2 linked regions of the Rhinolophus ferrumequinum genome follow. The protein of the gene in region 2 interacts with the protein of the main gene of each other region in a pairwise test. Links are inferred from orthologs where the notes say so. Each region holds a gene or a part of one and is shown on either strand. Other genes may lie near its edges.

What was found.
Region 1: the proteins of TOPBP1 (region 2) and CIP2A interact in a two-hybrid assay, tested with the Homo sapiens proteins (2 studies listed by BioGRID). The link is inferred for Rhinolophus ferrumequinum from reciprocal best matches to the Homo sapiens genes TOPBP1 and CIP2A.

Annotation. Positions count from the first base shown.
Region 1 is NC_046285.1:36,202,964-36,214,889, forward strand, and holds the start of CIP2A (protein CIP2A), read right to left. Parts: upstream 5,840-11,926; 5' UTR 5,634-5,839; coding exon 5,532-5,633; intron 1,854-5,531; coding exon 1,706-1,853; intron 259-1,705; coding exon 146-258; intron 1-145.
Region 2 is NC_046300.1:33,940,429-33,952,216, forward strand, and holds the start of TOPBP1 (DNA topoisomerase 2-binding protein 1), read right to left. Parts: upstream 4,933-11,788; 5' UTR 4,788-4,932; intron 4,262-4,787; exon of another isoform or gene 4,214-4,261; intron 4,145-4,213; 5' UTR 4,138-4,144; coding exon 4,054-4,137; intron 2,145-4,053; coding exon 2,010-2,144; intron 566-2,009; coding exon 422-565; intron 1-421. UniProt on the Homo sapiens protein: Scaffold protein that acts as a key protein-protein adapter in DNA replication and DNA repair. Composed of multiple BRCT domains, which specifically recognize and bind phosphorylated proteins, bringing proteins together into functional combinations.

The sequences.
Region 1 (11,926 bases), on a different chromosome or scaffold from region 2:
AGCAAGAACTGTACCTAATCATGCAGTATTATGCCAGCATATACACTGTAAGTTAGAAGTTTGTGATAGATACTATCAGTTTTGATCTGAAAATAAGGAAGGGAGAACAAGTATTAAGTGAAAAGTACTGTGTGGGTGTATATACCTGCAAAAACACTGAATCATTATAGCAACTGTTGCTCCGACAAATCACGCCTGCCAGCACATTATTCAGGTTATATGTACTCTGAAGACAGTCTTTGGTTTCATTGTCTAAAGCTGTAAATTAAAATAAAATGGCACAAAATATATCATTTTTATATATGGTCTTCATGGATGAATGACAAATAATTTAAAATTTATTTCCATATTAAATTTGCCGTTGTATAAAAATATCAAACATAACATGGCTATTTTATTTACAAATACCTTTCAATCAGAAGTTTAAGCACAGAAATTATGAGCTGCTAAAGGGAAGGGAGTATGAGCTTTTCCTTTTTTGCCAATAAACAAATGATTTCTCTATGTGGACTAAATTAATCTCAAGGAAAAAAACCTTGCTTTACGTATTTGTAGAAATTTTGCTGTCAAAAGATTATCATTTCAATTTTTTTGTAGTCTAAAAACTGCTCCAAAAATAAAATCTATTAATTAAAAAATAAAAATTTAAAAAGCAAATATAAAGACCATCACTTAAAAAACTTCTAATATATTTAAATGTTGAAAGTTTTCATACAAATAGTTGGTGGATGTTAGAATTAGCATGGCCTTTTTGGAAAGCAATTAAGCAATGATTATCAAATTGAACAATGATCTGAAAATTCTACTGGAAATTTATTCAACAGAAATACACAAATATTTGAGCAAAAATACATAAAAATGTTCACTGCACTATTGATTCTAATAGCAAAAACTCAATAAAGAACATACATGAGTACCCATCGTTAGTAAAGTGACTGAATAAATTATAACACTCTACAATGTGGTATAAGGCGACGATGAAAAAGATACCAATATGGAAAGATACCTGAGAAACACCAAGTGAAAAAAGAAAAATGGTGCTCTGCAATACCATTTTGTTAAAAATAACCAAAATTGTTAATTTATTTGATCTAAAATTATTTGTTATAACATAGAAAAAGATCTGGAAACACACGTATCAAACCACTAAGAAATATTCCCAATATCACCGCAAAAGTGAAAATGATGAGGGTTCGTGACGATGAGTAAAGAGTCACTGTAAAGTAATTAAATGAAATTTTAAAAACTAAAGACAAAGTAGGAAAGAAATAAAAAAGCAACACCTGCATTTTAACCCTTAGCTCTAAGTTCAGTGTAGTCTATCAAAAAAGGACGATTTTTTTTTTGATCACTAGTAATCAGTTTTCTGAGTAGTGTTTTTAATATTGGAATTATGTACATGTTCTCTTTTTAAAATTCAAAAGTAGGTCAGCATTTCCCAAGGAGCACACATTCTTTTGTGTAGACCACAATGAAGCTTTGATACGCTTCAGATTCTTTGTTCCAATAATTTTAAGAAAGAATGCATACAAGATTCCCTTTTCAAGAGATCCACAAAGAAAAATAGTTCTGAAAGGACCTGCAAAGAAGAAATCTTCTGAATGTGAATCATTCGCTGAAAGATTCTATGCCTAAATTTTGCCTCTTAAAAATATTAAATTCATACATTTTCTAAAAACTGAAAAAGAGAAACTAAATACATTACCTAGTTGAGACAACAAACTGATAATACTTAAGATCAATGGTGCACTTATGTTTGGGTCTTCAAGTAGCTCTACAAGGCAACTCAGGCATTCACTTGGTAATATCTGATTTGATGTAAATAATCGTGTGAGCTTCTGTCCAGAAATTACCTACAAAATAGTAATTAAAATGCGTTAGTTAAAAATTGGCAGTTTTCTTCCCTTTACCATTTCTAATAAAAACTTAGTTCTTCCAAAGTGCCACGGCCATTCTTTCCTAATTTAGAAAATTCATACATTCTGTTTCCTCTGCCTGAATATTACCAATCCCTTTCTCACTAATTAATGTAATCACTCAGGTTTCAGTTTTAATTTGTTTCCTCCAAGAAGCTTCCTCTAACCCTCTTCTACCAGCTAGGTTAGATTTGCCTATTACATTATCCTATAGTACGTTTCATAAACTGGCAAACTTTTGGCGACCTAATAGTATTTATCCTCCCTACTATACTGAACACTCCATAAAGGCATAGACTACAAATCAACACTCTACTATTAATATATTTATTGAATAAATGAATTCCAGTACATTCATTCCACCTACTTTGAGGGAGGCAATAGAAAGTAAAAAGTAGCTAAATCCAAAGGCTTAGCTATGGGATTAAATTCCAGATTACTTCTGCTCCCTCCCAAAGATAGTAGCTGAGTCCAGAAGCTAGAAATTACAAAAAAGGCAGTAAAAAAAAATTTTTTTAAGTGGCCAAGTCAGGCACAAACTTTACCTTTGGTTATTCCACTTTTTACTCCTCTCTTACAACCGTACAAACCACTCTCCCCCTTACCCCTTGAAAAGGTAAAGCTGGGATTGAAGGACAAAAACAGTTGTCAGACACCTATTTTCAAAATGCTTTTTGAATGTTATTTATTATTAAGCACGTCTTTTCTATAAAAATGGAAGAACAATTAGTTACTTCAGAATTATATTAAATCTGTTCTAAATGTTTTCATTTTTAAAAGATCAAGTCTAAGCAGGCTATTTTAGATTCCCTCTAATCTTTCCTTTCTATGTCCTTTCATTCCCTCACCTAGATGAGTTTTTCTTCTAAAGCTTTGCTGATAAGAGAACTTCAGAGTATCTTTTTCCCAAGGACTATGTGTTTTAACATTAAAGACAAAGTCTGTGAGACTGAAAAATAGGTCCAAAAGTTAAATTAGATACTGATAGTAGATATTTTGCGGTAAGGAATCTTCTGAACATTGCTCTTTTGCCTACTTATAAAGCTAGTCCTCTAGAAGATTAAGACATTTTCTGCTTTAAATACAATTTCCCTCAGAACTGGATTTGTAATTCAATAACATAAGTACTCTAACATGTAATAATTATTACAAGGTACATTTTAAAACTGCTTTACAAATTTTCTTCTTTACTCATTCATACCCATTGAATGCTTTAGGCAAATATAATTTATTTCAGTAATAACTAATACTTTAGCACTTACTTTGGCCTAGGCATTGTTTTAGGTACATTATGTTAATTCTTTTCATCTTCATAACCTGCAAGATAGGGGCTAGTTATAGTGCAGATGAGTAAACACAATGAGATAGTAGCAAAATTGGGATTCATTGTTCCTGAATCCATGCTCATAAACATTATGTAAGATTAGTGCTATGAAAAATCATCAAGATTGAGACCAGTTCAGCTCTGCCTTCACAAAACAATTCAAAGCTGGGATTCTGCATGGGACTATAAAGAAAAAATATAGCAGAAGACATGCAGCAAAATAGCAGAATGAATAATCTTCTTTCACAGGATAACTGTCTCTCTTTGTATCCTCATGTTGCTCTCATGAGGTCTGCGCAAAGATATTCACCATTAATATCATCACCAAAATGGTGGAAATTTAAAAATCTGAAAACACCAAAGATCGGTGTGGATGAATGACAGCAAATTTCATATATTGGTTGTGGGAAGGTAAATGGTATTTACTTGTGAAAAATTCATTGGCAATTTCAACTAAAACTGAACATAAACTGTTTAAGACTTATAATTTCACTCCTATATAAAAGAAATTAGTGCACATATAGCCGCAAAAAGAGTATGAAAATATTTATAAGAGATTTATTCAAATTCTACCCCAAACTGGAAACAACCCAAATTCCCATCAACCAGAGAATATAAACTGTGGTGCATTTATACAATGGAATTCTACACAGCAATAAAAAAAGAACAAAGTATAGCCGATGTGCAACACAAATGAATTTCAGATTATACTGACTGAAAGAAGCCAGGCACAAAAGTACATATTGTATAAGTCCACTTCTCTGAACTTTATGAGAAGGGACATTGAAGAAAACCTCATAGGGGGCTGGAAATGTTCTATATATGATATGGGTGGTAGCTACTTGGGTGTATAGATATGTTAAAAAACAAAACAAAAACAACCTATCAAGATCTTTACTGAAGATTAATGCACGTTATGCATTGTATGTATGTTCTCTCTAAATGGTAGATTATTTTTCAGTTTGGAACCCCCTGAAAGTTTGGAACACTATCAAGAAGCCACTCTCTAAGCCTCAAATTTCTTTGAAGTCTCCTTCAATTCACAATAACATAGTAGTTAGATTCACAACATATCTGTTTATTCTCAGAGAGGTAATGTTTCAAATTAATATCGGAAATACTTAACTTCTGTATCTTACAACAAAACTGACAGCCCAGCTTACTCTGTGGCTTCTGGATCCACTAGTACAGTGTTTTATCTTAATTAAGAAGCAAAGCATTAGCATTTAACAGCTAACACCTTCATCTTTATTAGGTTTGCAGAAATTTGTTGAGGTAATGAATGAAAAAGAAAATGTACTTAGGAGATGGGCACCTGAAGTAGAAAGAACACCAAGTGAAGCTCGAGAGAACAAAGACACATTTAAAGCACTCCACTTTCACCGAAGACTGATTCACAATGGCCTTCTCTTTGTAGAATTTTGCTAATCTTTGGTAATTTAATCTTTTATTTAGGGTTCATGTAACAAATAGAATATACTTTATGTAAATAGAAGCTGCCACAGAGAATTAAAATAAGCCTTGATTGAGCTTAATTATTTATTATTCAACTGAGAGCATTGTTAGGCGGAATTCCATCAATGCTTAACAAATGACAGCATATGAAGAGCAAAAAAAGTTATAACACTGAATAACTACTCTAGACACAAATCAGTGGGAACTAATAAAAAAATGAAAGCAATTCAGTATTTTAGGACTGAAAAGCTGTGAGCAATGTATTTTGGTAAAGAAAAATTATTATGATTACTAGTGAGATTGCCTTTTAATCCAGAGAAAGTTTAAATAGTATTGTTCAAGTTCGAGGTCAACATGAATTTAAAATAAAAGCAGGAAGGAACAGGTTCAGACTGTAAACAGCCTAAGGGACCAGGAATAAAACAAATTTTAATCATCATTCCCATCACCTTCACCCCTGAGAATCGCTGTGTCTTCTGTCAGGGCTCTGTGACGACGGAAAAGAAAAAAAAAAAAAAGAAGCAAAAGAAAAGATATGGCTTTGAGCTTTCTCCTCTACCACCCCCAAACACAGCCTAAATTCCCCAATCTTGTGTCCCAACCTTCCTCTTCCTAGGACTTTCAGCAGTCACTCGACCCTCCCGCAGCAGCCAGCTGAACAAGGAGGGACTAGGGGCGGGGAGAAGAGGGTGGGAACGCAAGGGTGATACTCACTCGCCTTCTTTACCAAGACAAAAAGACAGCTGAGGAAGACAGCTGTCCTTTCTATTCTAGCCTGGGGCCGCTACACTCCGGCAGAACGGTAAACTAAATATTACTACAGCGAAGCCCCTCACCTCCAAGTGCCGCAAAAGCTGGCTAGCGTTCGCCTCCGACTTAACGGCTTTATACTGACTGATGGTCAGGAGCAAGGACTTCAAGCAATGGGTGGAGTCCATTGAGACCCGCCACCGCCACGCCAAACGTCTACCACCTGGACCCAGCCAGGTCGAGTTTCCAGCTTTCGCCGCGCTTTTTTTGATTTGAGACCCCACCCCCTCGCTCCCAGAAGCTTCCGGTTCCGGTCACGCTCCGGAAACCCCAGGGCACCCTGGGGTACTGACTACTGTCAATGACGGAAGGGGAGTGGGGGAGTCGAGGAGATGGAGGGAAGGGGAGTACGGGCAGAGAGATCGAGGAGCTTGATGATTCCGTGAAGTGGGTTGGGAGCTGTCCTTTCAGATCTGAAAAGCCGCGAGGTTTCAGCTTTGAGATCCCGGGAAGACGAGAATCTCGCGAGAAATGCGATTGCTGCTCAAGCTGTGAAGGGGCAGTTAGACGCAAGGGGTCCTTGTTCATCAGTGCGCTCTGTTTTCGTTTGATTCCTCGGCCTTCACGCTGGATAGCCAGTTTTTCCTTTGCGCATCATCCTCTACCTGAGAAATGGTCGCTTCCCCCTAGTCTAGACACGGTGAGGAGCTCTGAGGAGGAGAATCTTGGGCTCTAGGTTTTGAGGCGGCCTGGGAGGGGTCCCTTTTTAACAGCTCATGTGTCCACCCCTTGTACGCAGAAATGCTTGTTTCTCAGAGTAAACCTATGGCCATTGGGATTCTGTGGCAAGTTAGTCATACCCTTAACGTAGTCGTTGTCAAACTTATTTGAGAAAGCTACCTGCGGGTGACTCCTGGGCCGGGTATTGCTCCGAGGGTGATTTCATTAGCGTCAGTTTTTGTAAGTGAAGGTGTCTGTTTTTATTTGGCGTGATTGATTGTTTTATAAATCTCGGTGTCCATGGAAATGGCGCTGTCATTTACGGCTTTTGATCACAGATAATTAATATGCATGTGTATGTCATTAAATGAGTCGAGTAGCTGGTTCTGGAGCTTTTTGCTTAATGTATGCTACTGTTGAATAAAGCTTTAAAAAGCAGTTTGGAGAAAATTGTAAGAATACGGTATATATCCTTTTATTAAACCATTTGTCAGAAATCATGTTTTGTCAATTCAAAGGAAGTATTCCTTACATCACTATTTTTAAAGGCAGGGTGTATTTTTATATTAAAAATCAATTTTAAAATTAAATCTGAAAGCTTAAAATAATCTAACCAATTAGACATACCTGTAAAAATCATTGGGTAATGTATATATGCATTCATTCATTCTGTAAACAATTACTGAGTGTGTAAAGTGGGCTAGACGTCTAGACATCGCCAGTAAGGGAACAAAGATAATGAAGTATCTCCTGCTGGGAAGGAACTGTCTACTAAGGGAAATATGCTAAACAGTACCTATGGAATTCACCACATAAATTAGGGGCACCATGCAGTTATGGTAAAGTTATGGTAAAGGCTGTCTGCTTACAATTCCTACCTCTACCTTTTCCTGTGTGATCTAAGGCAGATTCTCACTGCTTCAATCTCTTCGTAAGGTAAAATCTGGCTAACAGTAATACCTGTTGCATAAGATTGTTCAGTCAGTAAATAATTAATTAGAGCCTACAATGTGCTAGGCACTGGTCTAGGTAATAGATTCAGTGAATAAAATAAAAATCATACTGTCAATAAAACAAAACGTTACCATTACATTCTCTTAGGAAAAAAAACGCTAAATAATAAACACAGTCAGTTAAGGAAAGTGAGATGGAGAAAAAAAATAACAGCAGAATTATTTCTCTAATGTAATGGTGGCTGAGAAGAAGAGAAATGGGAGGTCAGGAAGGAGAAAGCAACATTTGAGGAAATACTGCAAGGAATACTCTCTAGGGGAAAAGATTTCTATATAGAATGGCAAGGGCAGAGGCCCTGAAACGCAAGCCTGACAATGTGTCAGGAACAGTAAGGATACCACTGCCACTGGAGTTGAGAGAATAGTAGAGGTGAGGTCATGTCAGGTCGTGCAGACAGTGACCTGGCATAATTATGTTCTCAGCATGTGTTAGTTACATCTTAATTCCTTGGCAAATGAAGTGATAACAGTTTGGTAATGTGAGACTTTCATTAGTAATGACAAATGTGTCATCATCGTCCCCATTTTGAGCCCAGGGAAAGGGTCAAAGCTTCTTGTAAGTGCCATCTTTCTTTGAGCTTGCATTTTAACTTAAGCAGTCACACATTTTTTTGTATATCTTCCATAAAATATCCATTTTAATACAAAATAATGTTTCTGAAAAATCACCAAAAATTGATATTGTAACTTTAGTAGGGTATACCCTACCATGATGATAGCTGTGAGAAGCATCTTTTTAGTCAGAGATGCTTGCATATCTTAATATGGGAAACACAGAGCCATATTTTAAGCCTCAAAAAGGAGGAAGAGGAGGAGATGAAGCTGGGTCCAGATGACTAAAAGCCTTATTAGTTTTGAGCTTGGACTCTATTCAGAATTCAGTGGTGACCTTTTTTATTTTGAACTGGGGCCTGATCTAGTTAGGTTTGTGTTTTAAATTGATTCCTGTGGCAGCTGGATGGGCTGTGATTTTGAGAAACATAAAACTAGAAGTATGGAGTATATCACATTTGCTGGAGTTTTTCCAAAGGATAACTAGGATAACTGAAGTGGAGGTAGCAAAGAGGTGACAAATTTCAGAAATGTATATGAGGTGAAATAGGCAAGATTTAGTGACTAATTTCAGATATAAAGAGTGAGAGGGATGAAACGAAGGGTTTCCAAATTTTTAGTTTGAGTGGTTGAGAAGATAACAGATACTGCTAACTAGTTAATAAAAAGTATTCCGGTTGTATTTTATATCCAGTGAAATTTTAGAAAGTTTTTCCTACAGTCTTGTACCATTCTCATTAAGTTTATTCCTGGGTGTTACATAATTTTTGTTACTGTGAGTGGGCTCTCTTTTTCTCCTATACATTTTTAATTTGTTGCTGCTTCTGGAAAAAAGATCCTGATTTTTGATATATCTTTTATATAACCTACTAAAATCTCTTACTCTAATAGAATTTTACTTACCTCCCTAGACTTTCTAGCTATATTATCATCTGCAAATAATAATTTCATCTCTCCTAGTGTAGTCTCCAAAACATGGAATAATCATGGTGATACTGAACATCTTTATCTTAATACTTAATTGAATGGAAATGACCAGTATTTTAACACTTAGTATAACTTGTACTATTGGTGTGTGATAAATGTTTTTTAAAGTGTTTAGGAGATTGCCCTTTATACCTGTTTTACTTGAAGATTTGCCAAAATGTCTGCAAAAAAATTGTCAAATGTTTACATTTATATATATTACTTTCTCTTTAAAATGGTAATGCAATGGATTATGTTGTTTTTGTTCTTGGGATAATAATAGCTAACATTTACTGAGCACTTGCCATATGCCAAGCACTTTTCTAAGAACTTTATACTTACTGCTTAATCTTCCTTACACATCATGCTTTTAAGTATTGTTATGTTCTCCATTTTACAGATGAAAAAAATAAGAGAGAAGTGTAATAATTTGTCATCACACCGGTAGTAGTAACAAACTATTTGCTATGCTGCAAATGTTTTATTCAGGATTTTATATCTATGTTCATGAAGATTTAAAATAATTTTTTCTTTATTCTCTCTTTTGGAATTTTGGTTATATATTACTTTTGAAAAATAAATGGGAAGTTTTTCATCTTTCTTCTGTGCTATAGAATAATTAGATCACCTAGGAATCATCTGATCTCCTGGGTTGTATACAATGCCTACAAAATTAAGCTTGATAGTTTATTTAGTGGTTAGAGCGTTAGAAAATATTTATATTTGTAATAGGGTTATAGATCTGATAATTTTTTTCTATCTTTTCTCGAGTTGATTTTGGAAATACTAGAAATACTTTGTCATTTCTCTAGATTTAAGAACCAACTATTTCTCTAGATTTAAGAAATTGATAGAGAATTGCATTAGTATTCCAATAATTCTCTTAATCTTTTACTTGTTTGTAATTTTAGATTTGCTTTTTCATTCTAACGTTATCTTTTTTCTTAGTTGGGCTTTCCAGCTGTTAGTCTATTTTATTCATCTTTTCAATAACCAACATTGGTTTTCTTCTTTTTTTTTTTTCAAAATCACTAATTTTACTTTTATCTTTATCATTTCCATCCGTATACAAACATTTTTCCTTTATTTGTTCTTTTTATAGTTTTTTAAAAGTTGAAGTCTTAGTATATTTACATACTATTTTTTTTAATGAAGAACTTTTATTTTATGCTCCCACCCCCCAAAAAATTGAAAAGACAGTAGCTAAAATGAGCGTCTGCATTTTGCCAGTTAGGTAGTATATAGTTTTTAAATACTAATATCCATTCATCAAATATTTGCTGAGTACTAGTCCTTTTTTAAAGAGCTTAAAGTCTGTGGGGGGAAATAGAGAAACCAGAATAAGTGCTATTAAAAAAAATAGTATATGCTATATAGGAACACATGGTATGTTTTAGAGCAAAATACTAAGTATCCAATTCCTTCATTCTTCAAGGATTGGCATAAAATTCCTATTCTCTGTACATTTTTATTGCTGTCCGTTATTTATATGTGGCATAGGTATTTTATTTATAGTTGGGGAAACACATTTAAGGGAGTTAAACAAAAGATGTTCAATATCTTACAACTTAAGTTTAGGGCTATCTACCTCCTTTAGTTCTTCTGGGAAAACGTTAAAAAAAACACACCATATCTTAAATACTGAATAGTAAATTGGAGATTTTTAATGTCTCATGACCAGGTTTAAGACATATTAGATGAATCAGACTGAATGAAGATATGAATTATATTTTTGAGAGAATTGCAAAGTTTGTAAAATACTGAATGTTGTAATATAGGAATTACACCAGAGTTGTGAACAGAGGGCTACTTGTTCATTTGTTCATCCACTATTTGTTTAATGAATGCTTGAGTGGTAGGTACATTGTTAGGTTCTGGGGATATAGCAGTGACTCAGACAAAAAAATTTCTATCCAAGTAGAGCTTTTATTTTAATCGGGGATATAGTCAGTAAACAAGACCTATAAATAAAATGTATGAATGTTAATAATAAGTGTTATGGAGGAAAAGAAGGGAGATGGAGGATGGGAAGTATCAGAGTTATTGTGGGTTGTTACAATTTTAGATAGTTGGGGAAACACATTTAGGGTAGAGTATTGATTAGTATTTGCTGTATAACAAATCACCTCAAAACTCGGTGGTTAAAACCATGAGCATTTATTCCTTGCTCACAGGTTTGAGGGGTAACTGCAATTAGTCTGATCTTGGCCTGACTTGGCTGCGTGGCTTTGCTCAGCTGTGTTTTGTGGGGAAGGGGAGATATCTAGAGCTTGGTTTCAGTTATGTTGAGATGTCTACTAGATATCCAGGAGATGATGAATGGGCTGTTGAATATATTATTTGTAGTTAAGGGAGAGATCAAGGCTGGAGATAAAAATTTAAAGCCTCGAGACTAAATGATTTAGGGTGAGTATGGATAGAAAAGACTATAGCCCAAAGTAGTTAAGTATTTAAAGTTTGCAGAAATGGGGAGGACCAACAAAGCACACTTTGTTGAGAAGTAGTTGCCAGAGGAAAGGGCACTATTATCCCATGGTTGTCTACAGGGATCAGTCTTACTTGTAGCATCTCGGCTACTCTTCTAAAGAAGGACTTCAGGTTGGCAGAGAAGGCAGTCTTAATCTATTAATACATACAGGCTCACTCTTCACTTCTGCCTTCAGAGGCCTTAAGGTGTGCAGAAGGATGGATAGCTTCATTCTTTAAATCAATATTGGCTAGTTAAAATGTGTCAGGTGCTGTTCTAGGCACTGGGGATGTAACAGAAGGATAAAAAAAAAAAAATTTTTTTCCGAACTTTGTGGGGCTTGCATTTGAGTGGGGACATAGGCAAAATCCAAAACTAGATCATTTGATAGGCATAAATATCAGGAAGAACAAAAGTTCCATTGGCCCAGATTCCAAAGATTCAGGGCAAAGAAATCCAGTGGTAGAACTGGCAGAGGTCTATTTGGATACCATGTCCCGACTATGGCTAAAACAATTCAAATACTACTAATATTAAATAGATTTTACTTTTTATGCAGGACCAGAAAACAAAATCTGTACAATTAATGTAACCTCTCACTTTTCAGAAATGTTACCTTCATCACAAAGCCAAAAAACCTATATAAACCAAAATTATTCTCCCTTTACAATTATTCTTCTCCTGTTTCTTTTCCCAACTATCAGGTATTAAAATTCAGCTAATCTCTAAATGATTTGCCAAACCATAAAGTTAAGTTTCACAC
Region 2 (11,788 bases):
TTTCTCTTTCAATGCCATGACGTTATTAAACTATGTTGCCTCTATACACGAGTATTTTTTAAATATGTAAATTACATGTATAACACAAAACTATATATTATATATCTGTTAGACTCCTTTTTTAATATATTAACTGTCTATGGTGGAAAAACCTAAGTGATTCAAACACAAACTCATTGACTATATAGAGAAAAAGTGAGTTTCCTTTTAGATCAAAACAAAAACTTAAATTAGCCAGTTTTCAATAAAACAGATTCCACTATATTCAATTTATTAAAAAATAAAAAAGATACACACTGTTGTATACTGACTTTGTATACTGTATATTTGTAAAGTATATTCTACACAGTGAAAAATTAAGTGTGGAAATACAGATATAATAATCACGATATTCTTCAACACTTCAACACCCAACACCTACCCTTTTGACTTTTTCCAGGCTTGTACAAGATACAGTTATATCAGACATAACCATATTATAAACTGGATGTTCAGCTCTTGGGACACATCGCTGGTGTTGCATGCAAAATATAACTACTTGAGGACCAACAATTCTGCAGCCAAGCTATAAAAAAAGAAAAAGTTCAGTAAGTAAGAAAAGACCTCCAGTCTTATTACATTTTGTAATATTTATCAATTCTTTATAGAAGTTGATGACAACTGTAGAAAAATCACCAAATTGTTACAAGGAAAAAATAGTTGCACTAACACATTAGACACAAAAACACAAACAAATCAAAACAATGCAGGCTATCAAAATAAGCTCTAAGAGCTACACTCACTCAAAATTACCATCAAAATTTTAATCTTTGAAACAATCTTAATGGGGCATGAGTAGTGCTCTTATGCTAAAATAATTAGGAAATGCCCACATATATTTTTCAAATGAAGCACCCAGCCAATGAAATAGACTGAAAATGTAAGCCTAAATAACTCCTCTCTAAAGTACCTCTTATGTCACATAAAAAAACATATAATCTTAGGCAGTTTCTACATTTGTGTTTTAAATACTTTGCAACTCAGTCTTTCCAAGGAAGAGCCACAAAGACTTCGCCTATGATATTGCAGGTTACTCAAAAAATCACCTTTCATTTTCATTGATAACTGAGTTAAGAAAAGCGAAGTCTTGCTCAACACCAGCACATTCAACATTCAAGCCAGACTGAAAACCCTACAGTTGTCAAAGTCACCATGGCATGACTGACTTAAATATCTACAAGGTAAATGATTATTGCTATCTTCTTGGTCAGCCATAAGAAAACTGAGTTTTGATGCTATCGATTCTATCTGACAAGCAGTAGTATTTCCAAAAGGAAAGTAAGACCAACAATGCTTTTGGCAAAAGTGGGCACACCTTCCATAAATTGTACAGATACTTCATCTACCTACTCTTCTATGTTTCCTTCTTCGAACAAGAATCAATTCTTTGTAATCTGGATGGAATTATAGCCAGCTTACTTTCATTTCAGTGCTTCTCTTGTCCAGACACCAAAAAAAGTAATGAGTCAGTAGACTCTAGAATCAACAAAAAAGAAATAGAATGGCTCGCTGGTATATATACAATACTCATCTCTAAATGCTTCCTTTTAGCATCTAATTTTTCAGACCCTACACAAGGCACAGGCATTAAAATTCTGTGTCCAAGAGCACGTAGGAAAGACAGGAAGTAACCAAACACTATGCTGAGGTCTTTTCCTACTTTTCATTATTTCTCCCTGAAATATCTCACTATCTTTCTGAATTTAAGTACAGAACTCCATCACTAAAATGCTTTGTTACTATGGGGTTCACTTATACTAAGTTAAATCCCCTGAAATATAAAAATTACATAAAACAAAAGTCTGTTGTAACATAATTAGCTTTTAAAAATATTCTGGTCTCCCAAAACCAAAGGATTCCTCTGTATTCATAATTTGCATACTTCGTAATCAGTAAAGAACTTATGTCCACTGAAGCAACAACAAACCAAAAAACAGACTACTGAAGGAATGTACTAAAAGTTAGCAAACCTTTTTGAGGTGATCAAAGACAGCACCCCTAAAAGGGTCACAGATATAAAGTGATCTATCATTCTCCTTTATCTTCAATGCTTCTTCTTCTGTAATAATCTGAAGATATTCTTCTGATTGGAACTCTTTTATTGACTGAAAGAAAAAAATGAAGTAAGATTACACTTAAAATTAGTCACTTGTATTTAAGTCCTATGAAGTCTATCTTCAATATCTATCTCAAATCCAGCCTTTTTTCTATTGGTAATACCATCACCTCTCACTTAGACCTTCTCTCTCCTCTGCCCTAAATCTGTTCTCCACACCTAACAATCTTTTTAACAAAATAAATCAGGTCATGCCACTCTCTGCTCAAAACCTCCAATGGTTTCCCAGCACACTCAGAATAAAATCCACATTTCTTATGATGGCCTATAAGACCAGAGAGTCTGGCCCCTCTGCCTGTTTCCCCACCTTTACCTTTTACTTCGCGACCCTCTTGCTTATCTCTAGCTACTCCTACTTTCTTGTTAGGACTGGAACAAGCAAAGCATGACCTCATTTAGAGGCTTTGCTCTTGTTCCCACTGCCTGGAATACTCTTCTCCCAGGTCCTCACCTGACTTGATTTGTCATTTCAATCATACCTGTTTAAATGTCACCTCCTCAGAGATACCTTTTCTGATCATACTTTCTAAAATACCCTTTCCCTATTCCTCCAGTCTATGTCATGAAGGAAAATAATACGGGTATTATGTACATATATATAGATTTGTCTTAATCCCTTACAAGAAAGTTTCATGATCTTGTTTGCCACCACATCCTGGCACCCAGTAAGCACTCAAATATTTTCTGAACAAAATATAAAGTCCTTATGTTAGACACTTAGAATGATCCTTTTAAAACAATTAAATCAGATTACATTACTCTTCTGATTCAAACCCCACAGTGACTCTCTACCTCACTGAAACTAAAAGCCAAAGTCCTTAGGATGGCCGACAAGGCCCGACATGACCACGTCACTCTTACGCTCTGCAGCATCCCTTAATCTTCCTCCATCCCTTGCTCCCTACACTACGGTCACACTAATGTTCGACAGACACTCTAAGCACTTTCCCAGGGGCCTCTGTCTGTTTGCTGAAATCTTCCTCAGATATCCAAAGAGCTAACTATGTCACCTCCTACAAGTATACTCAAATATCCATAAAACCTACCCTGATCACACGCTATTTAAAATTATAACCTTTCCTTCTCTTCCTCCCCAACAAACATCCTCCAAACCCCTTAACCTGTTTTTGTTCTTTTCTGTTCCCAAAGCACTTAGTACACTGTAGTACTGTATAGTTTACACATTTATCATGTCTGATTGTCTATTTCCTCCTGCTAGAATAGAATGTAAACTCTGAGAAAGGAGGGATCTTTGCCTGCTCTGATCATTGATGTATCCCAAGTACTACAACGGTGCTTATCAGACCATGGACACTCAGTAATTTTTTGCTGAATGAGTGAACTTTAAAGAAAAACCTGCTACAACAGAGCATCTTAAACTTTCATGTACACAGGCATCACTCTGAGGATCTTGTTAAAAATGCAGATTCTGATTGGTAAGCATGAGTTGGGGCCCAAGGCTCTGCATTTATAACAAACTCTCAAGCCATGCTGCTGCTGCTGGGATCTGTATGCAGCAAGTCTCCACCTTACCCCTACGTCCTCCCGTATTACACTGTACATATCAAACATACTTTTAACAATTAACCTCCCCAAAATATGAAGTGTAACCAGTACATGGCTGACTCAAAATTTTTCAACACACAAAGGTCTGCTCTGGTTAGTAGACAAAAGAAAGCAACTTAATTTAACTCCCAAGAACAGTAGGTCTGCCACTTTCAATAGAAATGTCATAATAGATTTGATATACTTATATAATGACATATCTATATTAATGTAGAGTAAAACTACATATTATGAAAATAATTATTACCAAGACATAAAAGCCCAATAAACCAAAATCACTAAAATGAAGAAAATGAATTCACAGGATCAATCGAGATGTTAACTGTTCTTACCTCAAGAGCTTTGAGAAAACATTCGGAATTGTCTGAAGACTTTAAAAACTTCACAAAAAACGGTTCTTTGTCATTTTTGGACATTTTTAAACTGTCAAAATAAAGGAACCATTAACAAGAACAAAAACACATTATGTATGAAGTTAAATGCTTAAAGTACCTATTTTTCTGTGCAGACAAGAATGCCTAAGGATAGACATTTTGGCCTTGTCCATGAATTCAGCCATCTCCGTTGTAAGAAACGCTGGAATGTGGGCAGAGTCAAGGAGAAATATGACAACACCAATCCTTGCAAACCAGAGAACGAATACATCTAATACGTCCCTAAACTGAATGCATCTGAGGACCCTTGCTATGGGGGGGAGGGGTTGTCTAACTCCCCCCGGCCAATGAACATTCAATTGCACTTGGCTGAAGGATACACAGAATGAATTTGTCCCTGCGGGTACCCATAGCCCTCGAGGTTTGTTCACCCCTCACTAAACGAACTTTAAATATAAACACGTAAGGCAGGTAGCAAGGTCATGCCCCCTAACAGGCAGGACGCTCTTGCTCCCCAGCTCCTAGCGAAAGGCCTGGCTCCTGGCGCAGGCGCACCCACGTCCTCCTTGGAGTTTAAGTGCCACCCGCCGGTTACAAGGGCAGGAAACGAGGGCCCCGAAGGCCAGAGGAAGCGTCGCGACCCCCAGCTGGGGTGGGAAAGAAGCAAGGTCCTCTGTCCGCGCCTCACTCACCTCGGTGGAGCCTGAGGGTTTGGGGACGGTGAGTGGGGGGCCGCGCGGCTGGCAGGAGAGCGGCGGTGGTCGGGCGCCAGCCCGGCGCACACCCGCCACACCCGCGGCGCCCCCGGACCGAAACACGCAAAACCCGGAAATTGCGAGGCCTGGAACCGACTTTCGCGCCAACCGCGCGGACAAACTCGCCTCTTCTGGCGGAAGTGACGCGGTGCGCAGCTGCGGCAGGAAGGTGGAGTCGTCCAAAGGGGTGGTGGGTGGCAGAGCCGCCCTTCGCTCAGTGGGCTGTGGGCTTTGCCGGTAAGTTTGGGCCCGGTGACCTGGGCTTGGGGCTGTGAAGGGCGGGCCTGGGCAACCCTGGGAGTTGGCCGAGCGCCCACGGCTCAGGGGATGGGGCTGGGGGCCAGGAGTACCTCAGAGGAGGTCCTAACCTTTGGGAAAATAAAATTAGGGAAAAGAGAGTTTTCTCAAGAAATATTTTATACCTGCTGTAGGCCAGGCAGTGTGAGAGAAACCGTTTATTATCATCCAAAACGACCCTGTGAGGCAAGGAGTAGTATCTCCATTTTAGGCACGGAGAAGCTGAGGCTTAGAGAAATTCAATGATGTGTCCAAGGTCAGACGGTAAGTGATGGAATTAGGATGTTAGCCAAGTCTTTGACTTGTGGAGGAAAATGGGGTTCTATGGAAAGGAACCCCACAGGGTGATCTGATCAGAAATTCCGAAGGGGGCAGGTCATGAGGGGTAGTCACGCCTGAGGCATCTAACTTGAGTAAAAGGCTTGTCTTTGCCTTAAGGCAGCCCTGTCCATTGTTTTTGTGCATCTAGGTTAACAACACCTTTGAAATGCCCTCGTATCAGACTTTCTAAAGTGAATCTTAATTATCCTGTAATCCGATCCCGACTTGCCTTGCTTTCCCCCACCTTCGTGTAATCTTCCTTACTTCTTAATCTCAAAGGCATGAAAAAAATTGCGAATTTATTCTCAAAGAATTTATGTCAGTCTGTTGAGATCTTGCTTCCAGGTGTATCTGTTTGACTCAGACAAGTTTTTACAAAAATTCTCTACAGGTTTGGACGTTCTTAATGTCCACAGGCTCCGCGGACTGGGTTCTTTATCCTCTAATGTAGCAAGAGTGTAATTACTGCCTACCACTTTCAGCCAAGAATGCTGAAGGGGAGAAAAATGTCAGGATGACTCGAATTATACACCTAGTGCAAAGGGGTCTTTGCTGAGATCTTCAGTCATCTTCCCCCACTCTTGGGCCCTCAATGAGCATTATCATTTTCTCTCTAACTTCCTGAATGTAGGAGAGATTCTGGGATGGAAACTAATGTTCAAATGGCAAAGATTCAGGGAAGAGGAGGTAAAATGGGACTATAAAATCGTGGCTTATTCATTACCAATCACAGACTGCTTAGATAGTGTTTCTTATTTTATTCTTGACTCTTGAGATGAGAATCTCATGATTTTGGACTGAGTAATGTGACAATTTAATGCCATATACTTCCATTATTTTTCTTTTTCTTCTTAGCACCTAAAGATGGCAATGAGCTGTGTTGAGTCTAAATGTCTGAATATACCCAAAGAAGGTGAGTCAGACACAGTAACACTGGGCTCAAAGGTAAAGGCCCGGCCCATTGTTGTTTTGTTTAAAAATAAACAAAAGTTACTTGTTTAAAAAAAAAAAAGGATGTCATAGTTAATTGTTAAGCAAATCTGTTTTGAAACTGTAGTAATAATTACTATTTAGAGGGTACTTTACATTCCTACTTACACTATTCCTGTTTACTCTTCCCATCAATCCTGTAGTATGTGGGCATCATTGTCCTGAGTTATGTAAATGGAGAAAATGAGGCTCAGGCACTGTGTAACTTGACCAGGGCCACATAGCTGGGAAGTGGTTGCACCTGGGCTTGGGAAGAGGCAGTGTGACTGGAAACCTCTGGCCTTCCTGACCAACCACATTGCTCCTTGTCACATGCTGCCTGCCCATCTCTGCACGAAGGTCAGCATCGGGACAGGAGCCTATTCCTGACATTTCTGGGGCTGGGTGGAGGCCTCTCGATGGAAGGAGAGTCACAGATGTCACTAATGAAGATGAGGAAAAATGAAATCAACCCTTTAGCTTTTAGCCAGCTGTATTTCAACACTGTGTTTCCCTGAAAATAAGACCTAGCTGGACAATCAGCTCTAATGCGTCTTTTGGAGCAAAAATTAATATAAGACCTGGTCTTATTTTACTATATGACCGGGACTTTGTAATATAATATAGTATAATATAATGTAATGTAATATAATACCGGGTCTTGTATTAATTTTTGCTCCAAAAGACACGTTAGAGCTGATTGTCCAGCTGGTCTTATTTTCGGGGAAACAGGGTAGCAGGGGAGTCGACCTCGTCTTTAGAACAGGAGACCAGGGGACAAGATCTCCCATCCGTGTCTCCACACAGGCAGACAGGGTCTGTATCTGTCCCTGAGGGACCTAATCTTGGGCAGTAACTAGAGCAGTGGTTCTCTATCTGATGGACTGCCTGGACCAGCTGCATCAGCGCCACCGAGGATTTGTTGGAAATGAAAATTCTTGGGCCTGACCTCAGGCCTGCAGAGTCTGAAACTCGGGATGGGTCCCAGCATTCTGTGTTTTCAAAAGCCCTCCAGGTGATTGTGATGCACATTAAAGTTTGTTTGAACAAAGATTTTTTAGGAAAGGGTGAAAGAGCTTATATGGGTTGTGGTTATTAAGATGGTGAAAATGGGGAATAGCTGTGATATGCCCTCAGGCAGCTGCCTCAGAAGGTGGAGTTTGGATTAACTTCCCCCTCACCTCCCTGGCTTTCAGGGTCACCTCCCTATTTCTTTGGCACTTTTGTCACCTAGAACCAGACACTCCAGACCCTGCTTAGAGTAAGATTAAAGGGAAATTTATATTTATCTATTTTTAGAATGAAAAAACAGGAAACAAATATGACAAGATAGTTACTTTTAAAATATGGGTGGTGCGAATATGACTATTTCTTGTTATATTTTGCTACATAGATAAGATTTCTCAAAATTTTAAATATAGATTTTTTGAGAGTTTTATATTTTCTAGTACTATAAATGAATAAATATGTAAGGGAATAAATAAAGGTATGATTTTAAAATGAGGTGAGTAAATTATCTTTATTACTGCAGAAATAGGCTTTGCAGTGGCAAAATATTTGTATAAACTCTTGTCTTCAGTAACCTGGAAGGTAAAACATAGACCTACAGAGTCTGCTGAGGTGCAGGGAAGGAGGTAAAATTGAATGTTAGCAGCACTTGCTGGTTGGTACTGGCTGAATTTAGCAGATATTATAAGAAAGAGACAACAAGCTCGTGGAAGAATTGGCTTGTTTGCAAGAAAACATAAAAGAGAATTTATAAATCCAAAAATGTGAGGTTTTGCAAGTTTGGAAAAGCTGAGTGCCTCTAGGTGCTGCAAACAAGAGGTAAACTTAAGAGACGTTTTGAGCAGCAAACGTCCATTACAGCTCATCCATGTGGAAGAGAACTAGTTAAATAGTATGGTCCTCCCACGCAAGCTGGGTAAACACCATCAATTGAGAGAGAGGTATTGTGCCCAGGATCGCAATCAGGCTTGAAAATTAGTTCTAGAGAGAACTGTGAGTATGGCTACTACTGTATTTCCTGAAAATAAGACCTAATTGGAAAATAAGCGCTAGCTTGATTTTTCAGGATGACATCTCCTGAACATAAGCCCTAATGTGTCTTTTGGAGCAAAAATTAATATAAGACCCAGTCTTATTTTGGAAGAAACGCTGTACTGTAGGGAAACAACTCTACCATGTCTTTCTGGCAACTTTGCATAGATCCATATAGGCAGAGGTTGGGATGGCAGTATATCTGAGCCCCTGGCCAAACACCTTGTGATCCTGCTGGAACGTGAGAGGATGGGAAGCCTCTAAGGAACAGCTAGCTAAGAGGGCACCTCTCACTCATCTTCCTGCCTCCCCAGGAGGCTGTGATCACTTTCTCATTGCCTCCCAGATTCTGATGAGGTATGGGGTTCTCTGCCCCGCTCCCCTCAGAATAGAGCTGCAGAATATAAAATCACTTAGCTGCTATGGACATTTGGCTCCTCAGAGATGGGGTTTCCCACAACACACATTGCAGCCCCTTTCCTTTCAGTGTCATCCTTTTTGGTGTAAAACGGAACTGGGGAGCTGGCACCTTTGGCTTATTCTGTTTTGCTCTCTATGGAAGTAATAATCTATATCTAAAAGTGTCTCATGTGTCTTCACCAGTCTAATCAGTCAGGCCTCACCCTTGACCTTATATATGTGAGGTTGAGAACTACCACATGAAACTGAATGGAAGCAAATAGATATGCAGGTTATTCAAGTTTTGAGATAATAGCTTTGTGAAGGAAGCCAGAAACCTGAAGTATTCGGACTTTGATACAATCTTCAAGCTTGCATAGTAGAAAGTGGGTAAAAAGTCCTACAGCCCCAAAGATGCACAAACTCTTCAATACCGTGCAGATGTGTCTAGAGAGAATGATGGAAAGGGAAGACCCTCCCAGAGGGAGGTGCCAGGGACCTTGGAGAGCAATGAGCAAAGGAGCTACTTTCAGAGCGAATCTGAATCTAATCAAGCAGAGGAACCAACCACCTAGTCAGTGCCTGTCCAGCAGGACTTTACAGTTGACACTGACCAGCAACAGCTATGGGTCTTCATTCCCCTTTCTGAAAGTGGGTTATATTGTAGTTATTGTCCCTGCTCCACCATTGTATATCAGGTGTGCTGTTAGGGGATGGGCAGCACCTTGTGTTTTCAGTCCATATGTCACTGGACCGTAAGGTGGATTCTGGTAGAGACCGTGTAGCAGAACTTTAGTATCCCACACATATCCTCTCAACCATACCGCTCTTAAGCACATTGGGAAACTTCTACCTGCCAACCTACCAGCATCCGTGTTTCTTTGCATGAAGGCATTCTCTGACACCAGGAGTCTGCTTTGCTACCTGCACAGTAGGCCAGAGGGTGAGAGGTTATGACCTATGGACAAAACTCTCAAACAATGACTAACAAGAATTGGTGTACAAAACTCTTGTTTGCATGCCCCTTGGATGGCATATTCTGCCCTGGCTTTCAGAGTTTTCTCAGTGGAATTAAGCTCCGGTCTCCACAGTGGTAACTGACTTTTTAGTACCTCACTTAGATTCTTTCTTTTCCCTGTCTCACTTCCCCGTCTCTTATCTGTGTTTCTTTCCTTACTAAATAAAACACTTGAAAAGTCTTGTCTGAAGTCTGTTTTCTGGGAGAACTCAAACTAAGACAGAAGATCCAAGACATGTGCCCCCTTTTCATAGTGTGTGTTGTTGCTGGGAAGAAGTTGCCAAGTTTTCCGGTTGCGAGCAAGTGTTTCCGGTTGCCAGCCTCTTCACATCTAGATGGGGTCATGTGATATAGGTAGACGTGATGCTTATTACTTCCAGGCCTGGTCCATGAAAACCACTTCTACTACCTTCCGCAGTCTTCCATATTCTGGATGTCAACACATAGGGCAGTCTTGGAAGCCACATTTTGAAACTGGCAAAGCCTCTCAGCGTGCATCTCTGAATGACTGACTAGAGTTATGAAAGTGAACTCCCCATCCCTGCCTCTCCAACAAATTATCACCACTGCTGCCAGAGGTGAACTTGTGTTATGTTAAACTATTGAGATTTGGAACTTCATTTTTTATGGCAACTAGTACCAATCTAATCAATTCTGAATTTAGCCAGAGGTTTAAACAAATGTGTTGCCACTTTAAAACTTGTCTTTATTGGGCCGGCCCAGTGGCTCAGGCGGTTGGAGCTCCATGCTCCTAACTCTGGAGGCTGCCAGTTCGATTCCCACATGGGCCAGTGGGCTCTCAACCACAAGGCAGTTAAACTCCTCGACTCCCGCAATGGATGGTGGGCAGTGCCCCCTGCAACTGAGATTGAACATGGCACCTTGAGCTGAGCTGCCGCTGAGCTTCCGGATGGCTCGGTTGGAGCGTGTCCTCTCAAACACAAGGTTGCCAGTTTGACTCCTCGACTCCTGCAGGGGATGGTGGTCTGTGCCCCCTGCAACTAGCAACAGCAACTGGACCTGAGCTGCGCCCTCCACAACTAAGATTGAAAGGACAACCCCTGGAAGTACACACTGTTCCCCCAATAAAGTCCTGTTAAAAAACAACAACAACAAAAAACACCACTTGTCTTTATTTCCACAAAGGTTCTTAGAAAAAGGAAGAGTGAAACTGCTCCAGAGACAAATGCCAGAGACCACATGGTGAAAGCATGGACTGTGGAAGCAGGCTACCTAGGTTGAATGCTGGCTCTGACATATACTAGTTGTCTGACCTTGAGCAAATTACTTAAACTGTTTCACTTTCTTCCTATACCAAATGGAGATGATACCGTGTTTCCCCAAAAATAAGACCTAGCCAGACCATCAGCTCTAATGAGTCTTTTGGAGCAAAAATTAATACAAGACCCGGTCTTATTATAGTAAAATAAGACCGGGTCTTATATTAATTTTTGTTGCAAAAGATGCATTAGAGCTGATGGTCCGGCTAGGTCTTATTTTTGGGGAAACACGGTAGGAGCATCTACTTCATGGTGTTACTGTAAATTAATATTTGAAAAGCACTTAGTTCAGTGCCTGGTACACAGTTAATGATAAATTTACAAATTCCTACTTTTCCAAAGGCAATTCTTGCCATGAAGTCTTTAAATTGTTTCTGACAATGCAATCTTCTAACCTTCTGCTCTGCTATTGTGAGAGGTTGTACCAAAGCAACAGATGGCTTTAGCACTTTGGATGTTCTTCCTTTGCAATATAACTTTGTCCCTGTACACAGGAAGTTGTCAGAGTTTGCTCCATTCTGAGGTCAGAGAGCACGTTGGCCCTTTTGGGTTTGAGCTGTGTTAGCTTTAGGTAGATCATTAACCTTGGGAGGAATGTTCACCTCTTGACCGTT